Coturnix japonica: one gene and its partners. The protein of the gene in region 1 interacts with the protein of each later gene in a biochemical or structural test. Links are inferred from orthologs where the notes say so. Each region holds a gene or a part of one and is shown in the gene's direction. Other genes may lie near its edges.

Evidence for each region.
Region 2: of the proteins of SIRT1 (region 1) and SREBF1, one has a biochemical effect on the other in vitro, tested with the Homo sapiens proteins (2 studies listed by BioGRID, with this or other methods). The link is inferred for Coturnix japonica from reciprocal best matches to the Homo sapiens genes SIRT1 and SREBF1.
Region 3: the proteins of SIRT1 (region 1) and RPS19BP1 form a complex in vitro, tested with the Homo sapiens proteins (2 studies listed by BioGRID and IntAct). The link is inferred for Coturnix japonica from reciprocal best matches to the Homo sapiens genes SIRT1 and RPS19BP1.

What each region holds. Positions count from the first base shown.
Region 1 is NC_029521.1:8,456,825-8,461,193, forward strand, and holds part of SIRT1 (NAD-dependent protein deacetylase sirtuin-1), read left to right. Parts: intron 1-1,136; coding exon 1,137-1,284; intron 1,285-3,611; coding exon 3,612-3,691; intron 3,692-4,369. UniProt on the Homo sapiens protein: NAD-dependent protein deacetylase that links transcriptional regulation directly to intracellular energetics and participates in the coordination of several separated cellular functions such as cell cycle, response to DNA damage, metabolism, apoptosis and autophagy.
Region 2 is NC_029529.1:4,938,987-4,943,923, reverse strand, and holds the start of SREBF1 (sterol regulatory element-binding protein 1), read left to right. Parts: upstream 1-1,888; 5' UTR 1,889-2,031; coding exon 2,032-2,131; intron 2,132-4,157; exon of another isoform or gene 4,158-4,200; coding exon of another isoform or gene 4,201-4,249; intron 4,250-4,867; coding exon 4,868-4,937.
Region 3 is NC_029516.1:46,162,798-46,167,951, forward strand, and holds RPS19BP1 (active regulator of SIRT1), read left to right. Parts: upstream 1-1,771; 5' UTR 1,772-1,834; coding exon 1,835-1,883; intron 1,884-1,966; coding exon 1,967-2,107; intron 2,108-2,238; coding exon 2,239-2,399; intron 2,400-3,325; coding exon 3,326-3,460; 3' UTR 3,461-4,056; downstream 4,057-5,154. UniProt on the Homo sapiens protein: Part of the small subunit (SSU) processome, first precursor of the small eukaryotic ribosomal subunit.

The sequences.
Region 1 (4,369 bases):
ATCCCATATTTGTTTGTTTGGTTACTGGTGGCAGAGCACGTCTTGCTTTTTCAGACTAAGATAGAAAAGCTCTCGGGACCATAACACTGCTGTGAGCAATTGCTGATGACTGCTGCAGTTTAAATCCAAAGATCTATATAGCTTCAGAAAGAGTAACTTGAAATATTTGGGTGAAAAACAAATCCCCTCCTTCTTGCTTACTTTCTGTACAAAGGCCCGAGTTCCCCAGGTGTGTACAGCCCAGTTGCTGTTCAGTGCCAAAAGAGTGACAGGAGAGCAGAGGGCCTGGAATTCAAGCTCTTCTTTAGAGGTGCTCCTAAGCAATAGAGTGCTCCTGCTTCCAGCCTCCTTGTCACACAGCAGCCAGAGGTACTGCCTGGCTGGTCAGCTCTAGGCAGTGGTTCTTTGTGCGAAGCTTTCAGCTGAGTGCCTACATGTGTTTTTTCTTCTGGCAAGCTTGTTTATTCACAGAGGAGACATCAAATCACTCCATAGATTTTGCACATTTCTTCCTGTATACACCTTAGAAATGCCAACCTCCTCTTCCCTGATATAGCAGAAAGGCTGAGCATCTGTCTGGGCCAGTGGAATTGCTCTTCTAAGCCACATGGTTTTGCATTGCTGACTGTTGTAACTGAATAAATCGGTAAAGCTGGTCTCAGTGCCACCTGCTTTTGGCTTTATGGCCAATTTGTAGTTCTGTTTGCTAGTGAATGAGGGTCCAGAAATGGCTGCCAGTGCAGCTGATGAGTAAAAACTGTTCATCTTTAACCAAAAGACCAGAATCAGAGTTCCTCACGATTATTTTTTTTTGTCTGACTGCAGTAGAATCATGTCTCTAATAAAAATACTGAGGAAGAAGGGGAAGAAAACAGTTCATGTTTTATAGTTCACAAAACTAGAGAAGACATAGACCTTGTTCTTGTGCTGCCTGAAGAGCAAAGTACCAGCTGCTATAAGGAGCAGTTCATCCTGGTATGATGAGAAGTTCAGCTGGTAAAAGAAGAGTTGGATCTGAGAAGAAAGGGCAAAATGCAAAGGGGATGATTACAGAAAATGAGCACATAATCGCTGCCTTTGGAATAAATATGCTGTGTATTCATATAAGCTTTCTAATGTACTTTTGAACTCCATAGGAAATCTATCCAGGCCAATTCCAGCCATCTCTCTGCCACAAGTTCATAGCTTTGATGGATAAAGAAGGAAAATTGCTTCGTAACTATACTCAGAACATAGACACATTGGAACAGGTTGCAGGAATCCAAAGGATAATTCAATGTCATGGTCAGTAATTTCAGATTCCCTTTTCTTGTTTTTTATGCGTAGGAATGATATTTACTGCTCTATGTGACAAGGTAACTGCTAGTGGTGTTGATATTTTCCTTCAACTGGTATTTCTCCTAAACAAATACTCTGCTTTTAAAGTAGTGGTTAGTATATTAGGTGAAATTATTACCACTAACTGAAGAAAACATTGCAGAGAGAGAGAGACTGAGAAACATCTTCAGATGCATCCAGTAAGACCCAATTTGATATTTGTAGCCAACACTTTCATATCTTGGTTTGTTTCATGAAATGCTGTAACCTTTCTTTAATTTGAACTTAAAGTTTTAGTGAAGTCCTGTTAAAAGTGTTTCTTGGTATGTTCCACCACGCTTCTCAAATTCAACAGGAGAATGAATAGAAAGCTGTGTCCCCAAGTCAGTGGGAAGATGAAGGACCAGACAAGGATAAGCTTGGCCAAAGGCACGTGTATTTCATGAGCCTCTGCTGCTTACATGACTGTACTTTACAACTTGAAAATGTTGCCTTTCTTTTTTTCCCCTTTTTGGAGTTAGTTCAGGTATTTAAAGTGTCAGCAGTAGAACTGGAACTGAAGAAGTTAACCTCTGAGTTAAGAGCAATAACCCTTGGTCTCCCATTAAGAACACAGGGCTGCTGTCCTAGCAATGGGCAAGATCAAATATCAGGAAAGAATTATCACCCGATGGCCTTTCCAACAATCCTAACATCAAGCTAGGGAAGCTGTAGTTCCTTTTTCCTGTAACATACCCACTGTTGAAGCTGGTACTGTTACCACGGTATCTCAAGTGGTCTCTGGATGCAGTGATACCCTGTTCTTCTTTGTCTCAGCTGTTAGCAGTGCAGCAATGCCAGCCTGGTACCAGAGGTGGCAATCTGCCCATTAATTACAACTGTTTCTTGTGGAGTTCTGCTTCTCTGGGGATCAGACTCATCTTTTTCATCTACAGACTTAAGAGTCAGTGGATTTGTCAAGTTTCTTCATTCAGAGAGAGTAAATGCAATGCTCTGTCATAGTAATCACAGAATCACAGAATTACCCGGGTTGGAAGGGACCTCAAGGATCATGTAGTTCCAACCCCCCTGATCAAAGAGAACAGAATAGAATCCACCCCACAGAATAACCCAAACCTAACTCTGGTTTTCATACGTATTCAGCATCTGATGCATTTTCTTTTGGATGCCATTCCTAATTAGGTATTTATCACAAAATTCTTACTCAGCTGTGTTTTTGCACATTGCGGACACACACAAATGTTGGTTTTGTTGTTTCTTTTTTCAGTTGCATGATACAGTAATTAGATTTCAGGCCAGCATCGCCATATATCTTATCAGTTGATTTTCAAATAAAAAATATTCTATTATTGGATCCTGAGGCTTTTGGAAGTTAGCAAAGGTTATTTTGAGCCCATTACGCTATCCACACTGCAGTTACACTGCTTAACGCTGGCAGTGGTTAAAGAGAAACTGACGGTAGTTATTTAAAGGTTTGTGCTTCAGTATCTGTTGTCTATCTGTGAGAGCTTGACACGTTCCACAGACATCCCCAAATTATTTTTTTAAGCCTTGTTTCATTGTTAAGACAAATCTGACAATTCCTCACTTCATTCTTCAATGTCCTGTCAACTTTTAGCAGTACTCCTTGCACAGGCACAAGGCCTCGATGGGTAAATGTATGCACCAAAAAGCCACTCTGGTTTGCCACAGTTTCCCATTGTTAACATGTGTTAGCCAGCAGGCGAGGTTTGCTTTCAGACAGGGCTGCAAGAGCACCAGAGAGCAAATTTACACAACCTTGCCAAACAGTGAACATGGTAGCCAAGCTGTATACTAAGTTTGGAGCACTATTCTAATGGGAACAACATAGCTGTAACTGTTGACAGTTTCTGAGAGGAACAGTGCTGTTACTTAGTTGCTTATAATGAAGTCATAGCAAATGCGTTTTCACAGTTACTTTACTCTTTGAAAGGCAGCTGAGATTGGTGTGGGTTCATGTCCTGCTCTGATGAGGCAGGGCTGTCACCACTTCTATTACTCGTATAAAGATGGAAAGGGAAAGTAGGGGAGCCATCCAGCATATTTTGTGCTTTCATATATTCAGTAAATCCTCCTCCTAAAACACTTTCTCCTTGCTAACATCTACAACTACCTTTAGTACTACAGGCATCTCCTCTTCATTTAAAAATAGTTTTTAAGGACTTTAACTGTTTCTTGTTAGCACTGCAATTTAACAGCCTTTGTGTCGTAACATCTTTGGCAAAAAGACCAAATCTGAAAGTCCTCACTTCTACCATATTTTTTCCCCCAAGGTTCATTTGCAACAGCTTCCTGCCTGATCTGTAAATACAAAGTTGATTGTGAAGTTGTTCGAGGAGATATTTTCAATCAGGTAAAAACTCACTTTAAATCACTGCAGCTCTCTGATAATCAGCTTGAAAACAAAGTGAAGCATTGCTTAAAAGATCTGCACTTTTAAAACGTATAAGAGGGAAAAAAGAAAAAAAAAAAGAGCTTTCCTTGTTTCCTATGTACCTATCTATATTTTAGCATTTGCTCTTGTATTTAAAAAATATACTCAGTTATTACACTGTAGCAATTAGGTAATGGGGAAGAAGTAGAACCAAAACTGTTATAGGTTATTTCTAAAGGCAGTTCTGAGAAGAGCAGAAGTTAATGCGGTAAGTAGAAAGTTGGATTTATACCTGCCTTAGGGTAATCTGAGCTCTCAGGCACACTGAGAATGCATTTCTAGCTATTTATAACGTCAGTCGCTCTTAAAGCATTTACCTGCATTCAACATGTTGAAATTGTAGATGATGCATGGAGAAAATGCTAACATAAAGCAGCGTCTGAGCAAGGACAAAGCAAGATGTCTGACTGGCACTTTTAAGAACTGCCAAACTATTTTATGTTCTGAATGCCTCACATCTGGGTGCAAAGTACTTCATGATCAAGCCCAGAGTTAGTTCTGCTCCAGCAGAGTAGAATAAGCTTTGCCTTGGTCAGACCCTCTTTGCTTTTCTTCTCTGTCTTTCGACAGAGACAGTTCTCTGATAAAAAGATTGTC
Region 2 (4,937 bases), on another chromosome or scaffold:
GAAGGGGCCATAACTGTAAAGAGGTCGATGATGTAAAGAGAAACAAACCTTAAAAAAAAACAAACCCAACACTAAAACGTTGCTGTATTCACGTAGGGAAGGTTCACCTGTATTAATCTGCCATCGTTTAACCTGTTCCAGAAATCATCTCTACTTTGGTTCCTGCATGTGAGATACTCCAATAAAGACACTACTGGTGTGGACCGGAGCTGCGCCTTGTGTCGCGTTGTTGTGTCGCGTCCTTCCCTCGGGAGCCCCTGAGAGGAGCCTCCGTGCGGCCCACATGGGGCTGAGGACGGGCAGGAGGGATCCGTGTGACGGCGGGGACGCGCTGAGAGGTGGAGGGTTTGGGGCTGCAGACCCGGTGCATCCCCATCCCCATTCCATCCCTATCCCTATCCCCATCCCGTCCCCATCCCTATCCCTATCCCTATCCCTATCCCTATCCCTATCCCCGTCCCCATCCCTATCCCTATCCCTATCCCTATCCCTATCCCCATCCCTATCCCTATCCCTATCCCTATCCCCATCCCCATCCCTATCCCTATCCCCATCCCTATCCCCATCCCTATCCCTATCCCTATCCCCATCCCCATCCCTATCCCTATCCCTATCCCCATCCCTATCCCTATCCCCATCCCCATCCCCATCCCCATCCCTATCCCCATCCCTATCCCTATCCCCATCCCCATCCCCATCCCTATCCCCATCCCTATCCCTATCCTCCTATCCACAATCCCATATCCATCCCATCCTATCCCTATCCCCATCCCCATCCATCCCATCCCCATCCCGTCCCTCCCCGCTCTGTGATCCCTCCCGTCTCTTCCCGGGGCGGTTCCTCCCCTCTCAGCCCGTCTCTCTGATCGGCCCCACGTGGATCCCCGCCGGGCCGCCGTGATGTCACGCATCCCCGCTCCGTGATGCCGGATCACCCCACTCCTCCCTTCGCTCCCATTGGCCGCTCCGCTCTGGTTCTACGGGCGGGGTTTTTCCCATCACCGTCATCCCGGGTTGTCCCGCCCCGCGCGGCCCCGCTCGCTCCTTCCCTCGGGGGCTGCGGTTCGTGGTGCGGGGCAGCGCGTGGTGCTGAGCCCGGCTGGGTACACGGGGGGCACGGAACGGGAAAGCAGCGCCGTGTCGGTGCCGTCTATTCCCCCTCCCGCGTTGTGTGATGCGGGTCGTTGCCCGGCCCCACTCAGCGATGCCCACTGGGGGTCCGTGCCCTCACCCAACACACACACGTGGGGTCCCACAGACCGTCGCTGCCCTGCGGGAAAAGGGAACGGAGCTCGGCTTCTCCCCAGCGGTCCGATATGGTCCGATATTCCTGTATTCGCAGCCGCCCGGAGCCGCCCCATGGCGCGTTGTGGGCTCCCAGGGTTGGGATATGGGGCGTCTTCAGCTGCGGGTGGGGATGTTGGAGCAGCGCTGTCCTGTATCGCAGCGGTGCCCCGCGGTTCCCTACAACACACGGGGCTGCACAGGGGGCGGGGGGGGAGGGAGCGGTGCAGGAGACCCCCAGCTCCATCTGCCCCACGAGCAGCCTCGGTTGGGTGGGCCAACTGTCAGGGCTTTGTTTCCCCGGATGGTTCCCGGGGCTGAAACAAAAGGTGGGTGAGGATGAACCCAGAAAGGGCCCTAAAACTTCATCACCCTCAAACCGCAGCGCCCTAAAAATACAACACCCTCAAACCTCATTGACCCCAACCTGCAGCTCCCCGACCCCGCAGCTCCGTAACACTCCGGAGGGTCTCAGCACCCCGCACCCACCCCGCAGCGCTGCCTTCCCCCGCTCCCGTCCGTGCGCGCTCCCGCAGCGGGTCCCGGTGTTACCGGGGGGGGGCGGGGACCCCGGGGGGGGGGGCGGGACGAGGGGCGGCCGCTCTCAGGGCCCCCCCCCCCCCGGCAGCAGGTTGGGGCACGGTGCGGCCGCGCGTCCCCGTCCCTCCGCCGGATTATGCGGCGACCGACCCCGCTGGGGCGGCCTCCCCGGTCCTAAAGGCTCCGCCGCCCGTAAGAGCCGCCGCGATGAGCGCGCTCAGCTTCGACGATGCCGCCCTGGAGGGGTTGGCCCTGGAGCTCCGCGCGGCGAGTGACATCGACACGGCGCTGCTCAGCGACATCGACGGTGCGGACGGGACCGGGACCGGGATCGGGCCGGGGAGGGAAGAGGCGGCGGGGCCGGGGCGGCGGGTTCGGTGCTGCTCGGGGAAATGGTTCGTGCTCGCGGGGTGTCGGCTCGGTGCGGTACCGGCGCTCGGTGCGGGGCAGCGGGGCCGGGCGATGTTACGGACCGTCCGTGCGCGGTCGGTGCGATGTACCGGGCGGCGGGGCACGGTCGGACGGAGCGAACCCGGTGCAGAACCGGTCCGGTTGGGGCGGGGACCGCGCTCGGTAAAACCGTGTGTCATTCGGGGGCAGCTCAGCGCTCGGCGTGGTGCGGGGGGTGACGGGCCGCTGGGGGCTGTAATATGGGTGGGGGTCGCACGGCGGGTTCGGTCCCGGGACGGTTCCCCTCCCCCATCGCTCAGCCTTGTGTCGCCGCCAGCCCCGCCCCGCCGTGACGTCATCGCCGGGGTTACTCTCGGTCGTTCCTCCTGGCTTCCCCCGCCGTCGGGTGGGGGTGGGGCGGCTCCGCGGGGCATCCCCGGCTCCGGTCCACAACTGACCCGCAGCTCACGGACAACGTGGGGCTCCCGGGGCCGCTCGGAGCTGGAGCTGCTTCCTGGGGGCTCTGCGGGATGGGGACGGTGCCAATTGGACACAACCGTGCCACCAACTGGGACCCTCTCGTTGGTACCAGTGGGACCGGACCCCATCGTGCCACCAAAGGGGGCTCATTTACCGAAACCAATGGGACACAGTGATGTCTCCAAAGCAGACCCGATCCCCAGTGCTAATAGGACCCAGTCATGCCACCAATGGGGACCCGATCCCCAGTGCCAGTGGGACCCAGTCATAGCACCGAGGGGGACCCGCTCCCTGGTGCCAATGAGACGCTCTTTCAGGTGCCAGTTGGACCCATCCAGCAGGACCCCCCTCCGCAGCTCGCAGCCCAGCCCAGCAGGCAGCAGCCAACCTGCACCAGGCAGCACGTGGTGCCGCTCCGCCCGGGCTCGGTGCGCGTCGGGGCCCCGAGGCTCCCAGCACAGACCGGCAGAGCCGGTGGAGCACGGAGCGGGGCGGGGACGGGGCGGCAGAGCCCCCGAGCGTCCCGTGGGGCTGACGGGCCCTTCGTGGGGTCGGTGCTGGGATCCCCTTCTCCGCTGACAGCCGAGGCTGGAGCTGAACCCAGTCGCCCCACGGGGTGACCTTTAACTCGTTGTCACGCTGGAGGGGAAGCGGCGTGTCCTGATGCACCCGGTGCACGGCAGGACTTTGCCTGCGAGGCTGGCGTCCCCTCTGCCCTCCTTGGACACAAACCAGGGCTGAGACCACGGCGGCCTCTGTTTGCCCATGAGCTGCAGGGAGCAGAGGGATGGGCAGGTGGGGGGCGGATGTCCCTATTGGGGGTGTTTCCTGACACCTTGTACTCCGTATGGAGACAGGCTGGGTGTGCTGCTGCTATTTACAGGGAGAGCTTTTGCTGACGGGCACTTATACGTACCCTTCCACACTGAGCGTGATCCCAAGGGCTCTGTGTGTCCCCATCCCCATGTGTTTATACTGCAGGGTGTAAGGGGCCCCGTGGGGCAATGCATGGGGTGAGACCATCCGTGTTCAGCAGTGCCATGACCCACCGTGGATTTACCACTGTCTCCATGTCCCTGTGCCCTTGTTGATGACATGGTTGGGTCCCACTGAAAATCTCATCTTGGAAAAGCTCCCCATTGATGTAGGCGTCCCAGGGCTGGGGGTGCTCCATGGGATACAAACACCCGCTGAGGCTGGGGGTATCCCGGGCTGAGGATGCACGGAGGGACGCTGGTGTCACTGTGGGATGTGGGGACACGCAGTGAAGGAGTTAATGCTGCCTGACCTGGAGTAACCCTCTGCTGGGTGCCCGCGAGTGACCCGCTGCGCTGCGCTCACCTTGGGGCTGCCTGGGGGCGGCCGGCGGGTGCTCGGGCAGCGATTGGCGGAGTCACATCACCCCACGGCCGGCTCCGCTCCAGGGCTGGCGCGGGCGGCAGCGGGGAGGGAACGTGGGGAGGAGGCGAGGAAATGGTTTGAAAATAGCCCGCTGCGTTCAGCGCAATGCTCAGCCGCCAACACCGGGATCTCACCCTGCCCGCCCTGCTGGGAGGTATCCCCTGCTGCTCCTCGTGCTCTGCCGGGTGTATGGGGCGCCCCTTGGGGTCTGGGGGCACTCGTGGGTCACTTTGGCATCTCTGGGTACCGCGCTGTGTTTGGATGCTGCCCAAATGAAGGTCGCTCTATGGGGGCTTCTCAGAGCAGCCCGATGTGTTGGGGTGTGTCAGTGGGGATGTCCCCAGTGCCCCGGGGTGCTGGGATGCAGGGCAGACCCCCAGGCTTAATGCTGGTTAACTCTTCATGCCCTACTGCCCGCCTGGGGGTGAGTGGGGCAGCACATGGTGCAGGGGTTGGAGGGGTTTGATGCACCATGGATGTGCCACCTCCCCGTCCCAGCCCCAGCTCCTCAGCCCTCAATACAGGGGCTTTTTGGGACTGTCAAGGTTTTGGTGTCTAGTTTGTAATGAATGAGCTGCCCCATTTTGTCCCCCTGGAGCAGGCTGAGATCAGCCCCGCTGCCCCTGAGGATCAGGGCATGGTGCTCCTCTGGGCTCCCACATCTCAGGGCAGGGTCAAGCAGTGTGGGGCTGGAGCCCCCCATGGCTTTGAGGCTCCCTGTGAGGTTTGGGGCTGCTACTGACCAGTTTGGGGGGGGGCTGTTATTTTTCAGACATGCTGCAGCTGATCAACACACCGGACAATGACTTTTCGGGGCTGTTTGATGCGCCGTTCACGACCCC
Region 3 (5,154 bases), on another chromosome or scaffold:
CCCCATGCGCTCGTTAAATTTTATCCTGCAGGTAATTGTGGATTAAAATCATAGCAGGTTTGCACTCAACCTTGCTGGTCAAAAGAGGCATTGCCTGTATTAAAGTTTCTTGCTACTGAAGATATTTAACAAGAAGGGACTCAGAATTTCTCAGAGGCCAAATAATTGACAGCATTATTAATTGGTACAACAGAAACAGAAACACAATACTATTTGCAGAGGCTTATTTTTGAGTTAGAAAAGGGCATATATTTTCCAATGAGACAATAAATCAGTGCAGATTGTAACACATTAATTTGTTAAATCTAAACATGTTTAGCAGTGCAGGTAATTATATTTTTGCATTAGGAGGCCTCATAAGACATTTATAAGGTTACATTGCTTTGACACTAAACACGTGTGATGATGTGTCAGGTGAGCCTGATAAAGTTAATCGATGTAAATGCCACTTTTAACTAGTAGAAAAAGCTATTCTGTGTGATATATGTCTGTGAACAGCTTACAGAGAACCTGTAATTCTATTTTAGGGGCTAACGGAGAATGTTTGACAGCTAAGGTATAATCAGGAATGCTTTCCTCACAGTCATAACACTGACAGCTCTCCTCCCAAATATGCTAACTTACATGAATGCAGGGACAAACCCAGCACAGAACAAGGAGCTGAGCAGTCTCAGTCTTTGCTAGCTTAGTAGTAGACAAGAAAATGGAGAAATATTCATGAAATCATAGAATTATCATAGAATGGCCTGAGTTGAAAAGGACCACAATGATCATCCAGTTTCAACTCCCCTGTTATGTGCAGGGTCACCAACCAGCAGACCAGGCTGCCCAGAGCCACATCAGGCTATGCACCCGGCCATTGCCCACCCAAATTAATCCAAAAATGTGGTTTGGATTTAAGAGGAAAAATCACAAGTGAGAAGAGACCTGCTGAACAGGAAATAAATGGTTAATATTTCCCAAGAATGAGCACCAAGACAGTCTGGTCCAGAAAGACGCATCTGCACAATCACAATGACAAATACTGACACAGGATGCCAGGAACGATTCAACAAGAGATTCCAAAGAGAACTAAGAATAAAAAGATTGGCACTGAGGTGACATCTGCAGGGGCTGGAGAACAACCTGCAGAGAATAGATGCCTGTTAATGAACTGCTGTTTAACTGCCATCAGCCACCACTAGAGATCATTGCCATGAGAAACAACCAGTGCTGTTTGTACCGCTCTCTCCCCATGGGACACTGTCTGAGGGAGAATAAACCTCTCTCCTTCTCCTCCAGCACCAGCCTGTTACTGCCAGTGTTGGCTATAACTGAATAAGCTTTATTCAGATGATAGATAAATTTAGCAGACATTAGCAGCAAGACTCTAGAGAGGCAAAAAACGGGGGAGGAAAGCTTTAAATAAATACGCTAAAGTAATACTGAATAATAGATGCAATTAATGGTGGAGCAAAACTGTGCCTCAGGAGCCGGGCACAAAGTTAAACCTGTTTTGGGGGGCCTTCCACCACAACAGCAGGGCCCTACAGAGCCCATTCCCAATGCAGAAGGTCTGTGAGGCTGCACCACACGCAGGAGAGAGGAAAACGAGGCAGCAGCGCTGGGTTTGTACATCAAATCAGCTCAGGGCTGACCTGAGGCAGCCTCCACAAACCACAGAACCCCAATATGGCTCCGCGCTCCGCCCTTCCCGCCTAAACCGCCTAAAGACGGAAGTAGAGTCGTTCAAAGGGCGGAAGTGGTGTCAGGAGAGGGCGGAAATGGTCTCAGGAGAGGGCGGAAGTGCGGTGGGGAGCCGGAAGTGGATGAAAGGCGGGGGGTGTGTGTGGCCATGTCTGCGTCGTTGATACGGCGGGGCCTGGAGCTGCTGGAGGCACCGGGTGGGCTGGAGGGGACGGAGGCGGGACAGGAGGGGGTTATCGCAGTGTGTGGCCCTGGTAACCTCCCTCCTCTCATCTTTCAGGCCGGGGAAAGGCCCCGCGGGGACTCCAGCAGGGGCGTGATGGCACCAGGCCGGCAGGAGCTGCCCGGCGGAGGAAGGTAACGGTGGGGCCTGGGAAGAACAAGGCCACGATCAAGGGCAGAGTGGTGAAGTCGGCGATAGGTGAGTTCTGACTTTAGTTCTGGTAGAGATCAGCTCCATTGCGCTCTGCACTCTCAGGCCGGGTCCCTGCATGGTGTCCTGCAGCCCCTGTCATGATCACTTGTGCTTATCCCTCTCCATCCTCCTTGTAGCAGCCCTCGGGTGCTGCCTGGGCAAGCAGGTGATGTGTTTTGTCTCCCTGTGCTCTGACCTAGAGGAGTATCACAAGAAGAAAGCTATAAATCACCTCAAAGCAAATCTGCAGTACATGACAAGCGGACGATGTGTTGCTGACAAAGCTGTCACTAAACAGGTAAAGGTGACACTTCTTTCTTCTTCTGAGGAGCATAAATGAATGGGAATTATCTTCACATCTTCCAGCTTAGGCCCTGTGCAGTAGAGTTGACTTTCTTTCTGGTAGTTGCCTTGAAGTATTTATTTGTGCTCAAACAAAACACCTTACTAAGCTTTAAATTTTTGTTGATAGCTTATTTCTTAGTGTTCTCAGATACTAGTTAAAATCTGGTCATTGTCGACTTCTCTTGGTTACCAAAGGTATTTCATAGCAAAGAAGCCCTTGTTCAGGCTTCCCTTCTGTTCTCTTCTAACTGTCCTCTTCTGTAGCTAGAGGCTGTTTTAGCAGGGATCCAAACATGCTGCTGGCTCACATGGTAGGAATTTCACAGCTTCTTAAATTATGTTTCTCATAACCTGAAAATTTAACCAATAGTCTTTCCCAAATAGTAATTCTGAGCCAGGATTTGAAGGTAGATAACACCACTAGATTCTTAGGCTGTTTTTATGACAACACTTTTAACTTAAAGAAACTAAGTGATTTAGGCCAGTGTTTTTCAGGTTTGAGGTTGTAAATGGCAGGAATGACATATTAAAGAACACCAGGGGAATACTACCAATTTCTTGGATTTTCTAGTCATCTTATGGACTAAAGAATGTTACAGTTTCAAAGAAAGTTTAAGTTAAAATCAATATTGCATTTTCAATAAGAGTTATCTGAAAGTAGCTTCCATGTTTGACTCTGAATGCTACATGGGTGCTTGCTGCTGTCCCAGTGACCTGCTTTGGCTAAGATAATGTTTGCATCTCACACTTCTCTGGTGGCATTCCAGAATGTAGCATGAATGTAGCAGAATAATAAAGGTGTGGTAGGTGAGCTTGAAAATTACTGTTTTGTGATTTGGTCTGGGTGACAATGAATGTTATTTTTGTTTTTTCACGAAGGTTCTTGCACAGAACAGAGGCAGGAAGTCAAAAGATCAGCCTGCAGAGAAGAAGGAAAAGAAGAAGCCTGAGGGCACTGTCTTTACTGAGGAAGACTTCCGTAAATTTGAAAGAGAATACTTTGGAATCCCATAAACAGCATGAAAGGGACTCTTGCAGCTCCAGTCCGTTTGCAGCTGAGTGCTCAGAATACAGGACCGGACACTTAATCAGCATGTTTGAGAGTGGATGTAGGAGATACATCACTTTGTCAGCAAATATACTAGCATCAGACCTGCAGAGTAACTGCTCCTGTCCGGAACTCACTGCTGGAGCCATGGAGGTTCTTTGTTTTTTGCAGTATGTTTTAAGATCACCTCCCTCCAGCCAGCATGTCTTGTGTTCTTGACTTAGAAAGGTGGACTAATCCAAAACCAAATCTTATTCTTCAGTAAGGCATCTGCTATTGGTCTCCAACTCAATGATGATACATTTTGGACAGCAAAAGCAAATCATTAAAAGGGAAGGATGCTTCAAAAGACTGTGAAATCCAAGTACTCCAGCAGTTTCTGTCATTATTACAGTATCTGTCAGGTTTTTCTGGTATTGTAAATATTTTGTATGTGTTGTATGATTAAATAATTGTTGTTACAGGTGCTGCCTATCTTTGCCTTTGCGGTAGCGATTGTTATGAGTGGCTGTGATTGAAGAACATAAACCAGATCATTGTTCTGATCCAAGCATTCCTGTCACTAGGATGACTCAGTTGTGTGAATGTCTTCCCTCTGATTCCTGTTGTCACATGTGTCTTCTCTCCTGCATGCTCAGGCTTTTAGAGTGCAGGTAGGAACTGAGGTGACTCCTCTTCTGCCTGCTCAGTCACCCCTCTAAGAAAGAGGTCTTATATGGAGAAAACTTTCTCATGCTTCAGCCCAAGCTTTTATCTGAGGTTCCAACTAGGAGGGTGCTGCTGCTGGATGCTGCCAGCTCCTGTAGGCAGGAATGCTTGTGACCCAGAAGTCAGCTTTCAGCATGAAGATCAAATCATCTGAACTAGAGGCTGTGGTGCTGGACGGAAGGGATGGGTGTTTGCTTTTGGTTGTTTTTGGTTTTTTTTTTTCATAGTGCTAAATTCCCTGCTGCAATAAATAGACGGCCCAGCAGGTGGGAGTGTTGTTTCAGATTATCTTCCTTGCTAAACTACTGTGAATGTGCTTTTTGGGAGCTCTTGTTACTGCCCTTTCCCACCCTTTTCTTAAGATGATGGGAAGTGTTCTCCCTTTGGAGAGGAGAAAAAGAAGAGACAAGTTCTAATAAAAGAGATTCAAGAGCCAACCCTTGGTTAGAACTAACTCCTTGGTTCAGATGTTAGCAGTGGAAGGAATTTGGTATCCCACCCCCTGCATCCTTAAGTCTGTTCCACCTGTGTTTTGTTCTTTCCGTTGTGTCTGCATAAAAGGGAAGGTCACATAGATATACTTTGTCCAAACAGGGGAAATAGTGAACATACTAAAGTATGTGTTCTGGAAACTGTGCTTAACAGCATGTGGGAGGGAATTTCTTGTAATAAGATCAGTTCAACAGTTTGCAGCCAAAAGTGGTAAATAAAACATTCCAAGGACCAGTTTCCCTTTTTTTCAGTTTGTCCCTTCTCCTAAAATGGAGAAATGTGTAGGGGACCTTGAGGAAAACAAAAACATCCTTTGTTGCTGCAGAAAGGTACAGTAGGGAAGTGTGGCTCATTCTGTTTGCTCAAAACCCAGCTTGTTTGTTTGCAAGCATAAGTAAATAGGGAAGTTGCTCTTTCAAAGTCAGTAAGGTACTTTAAAGCGAGCTCCAAAGCAGTCTTC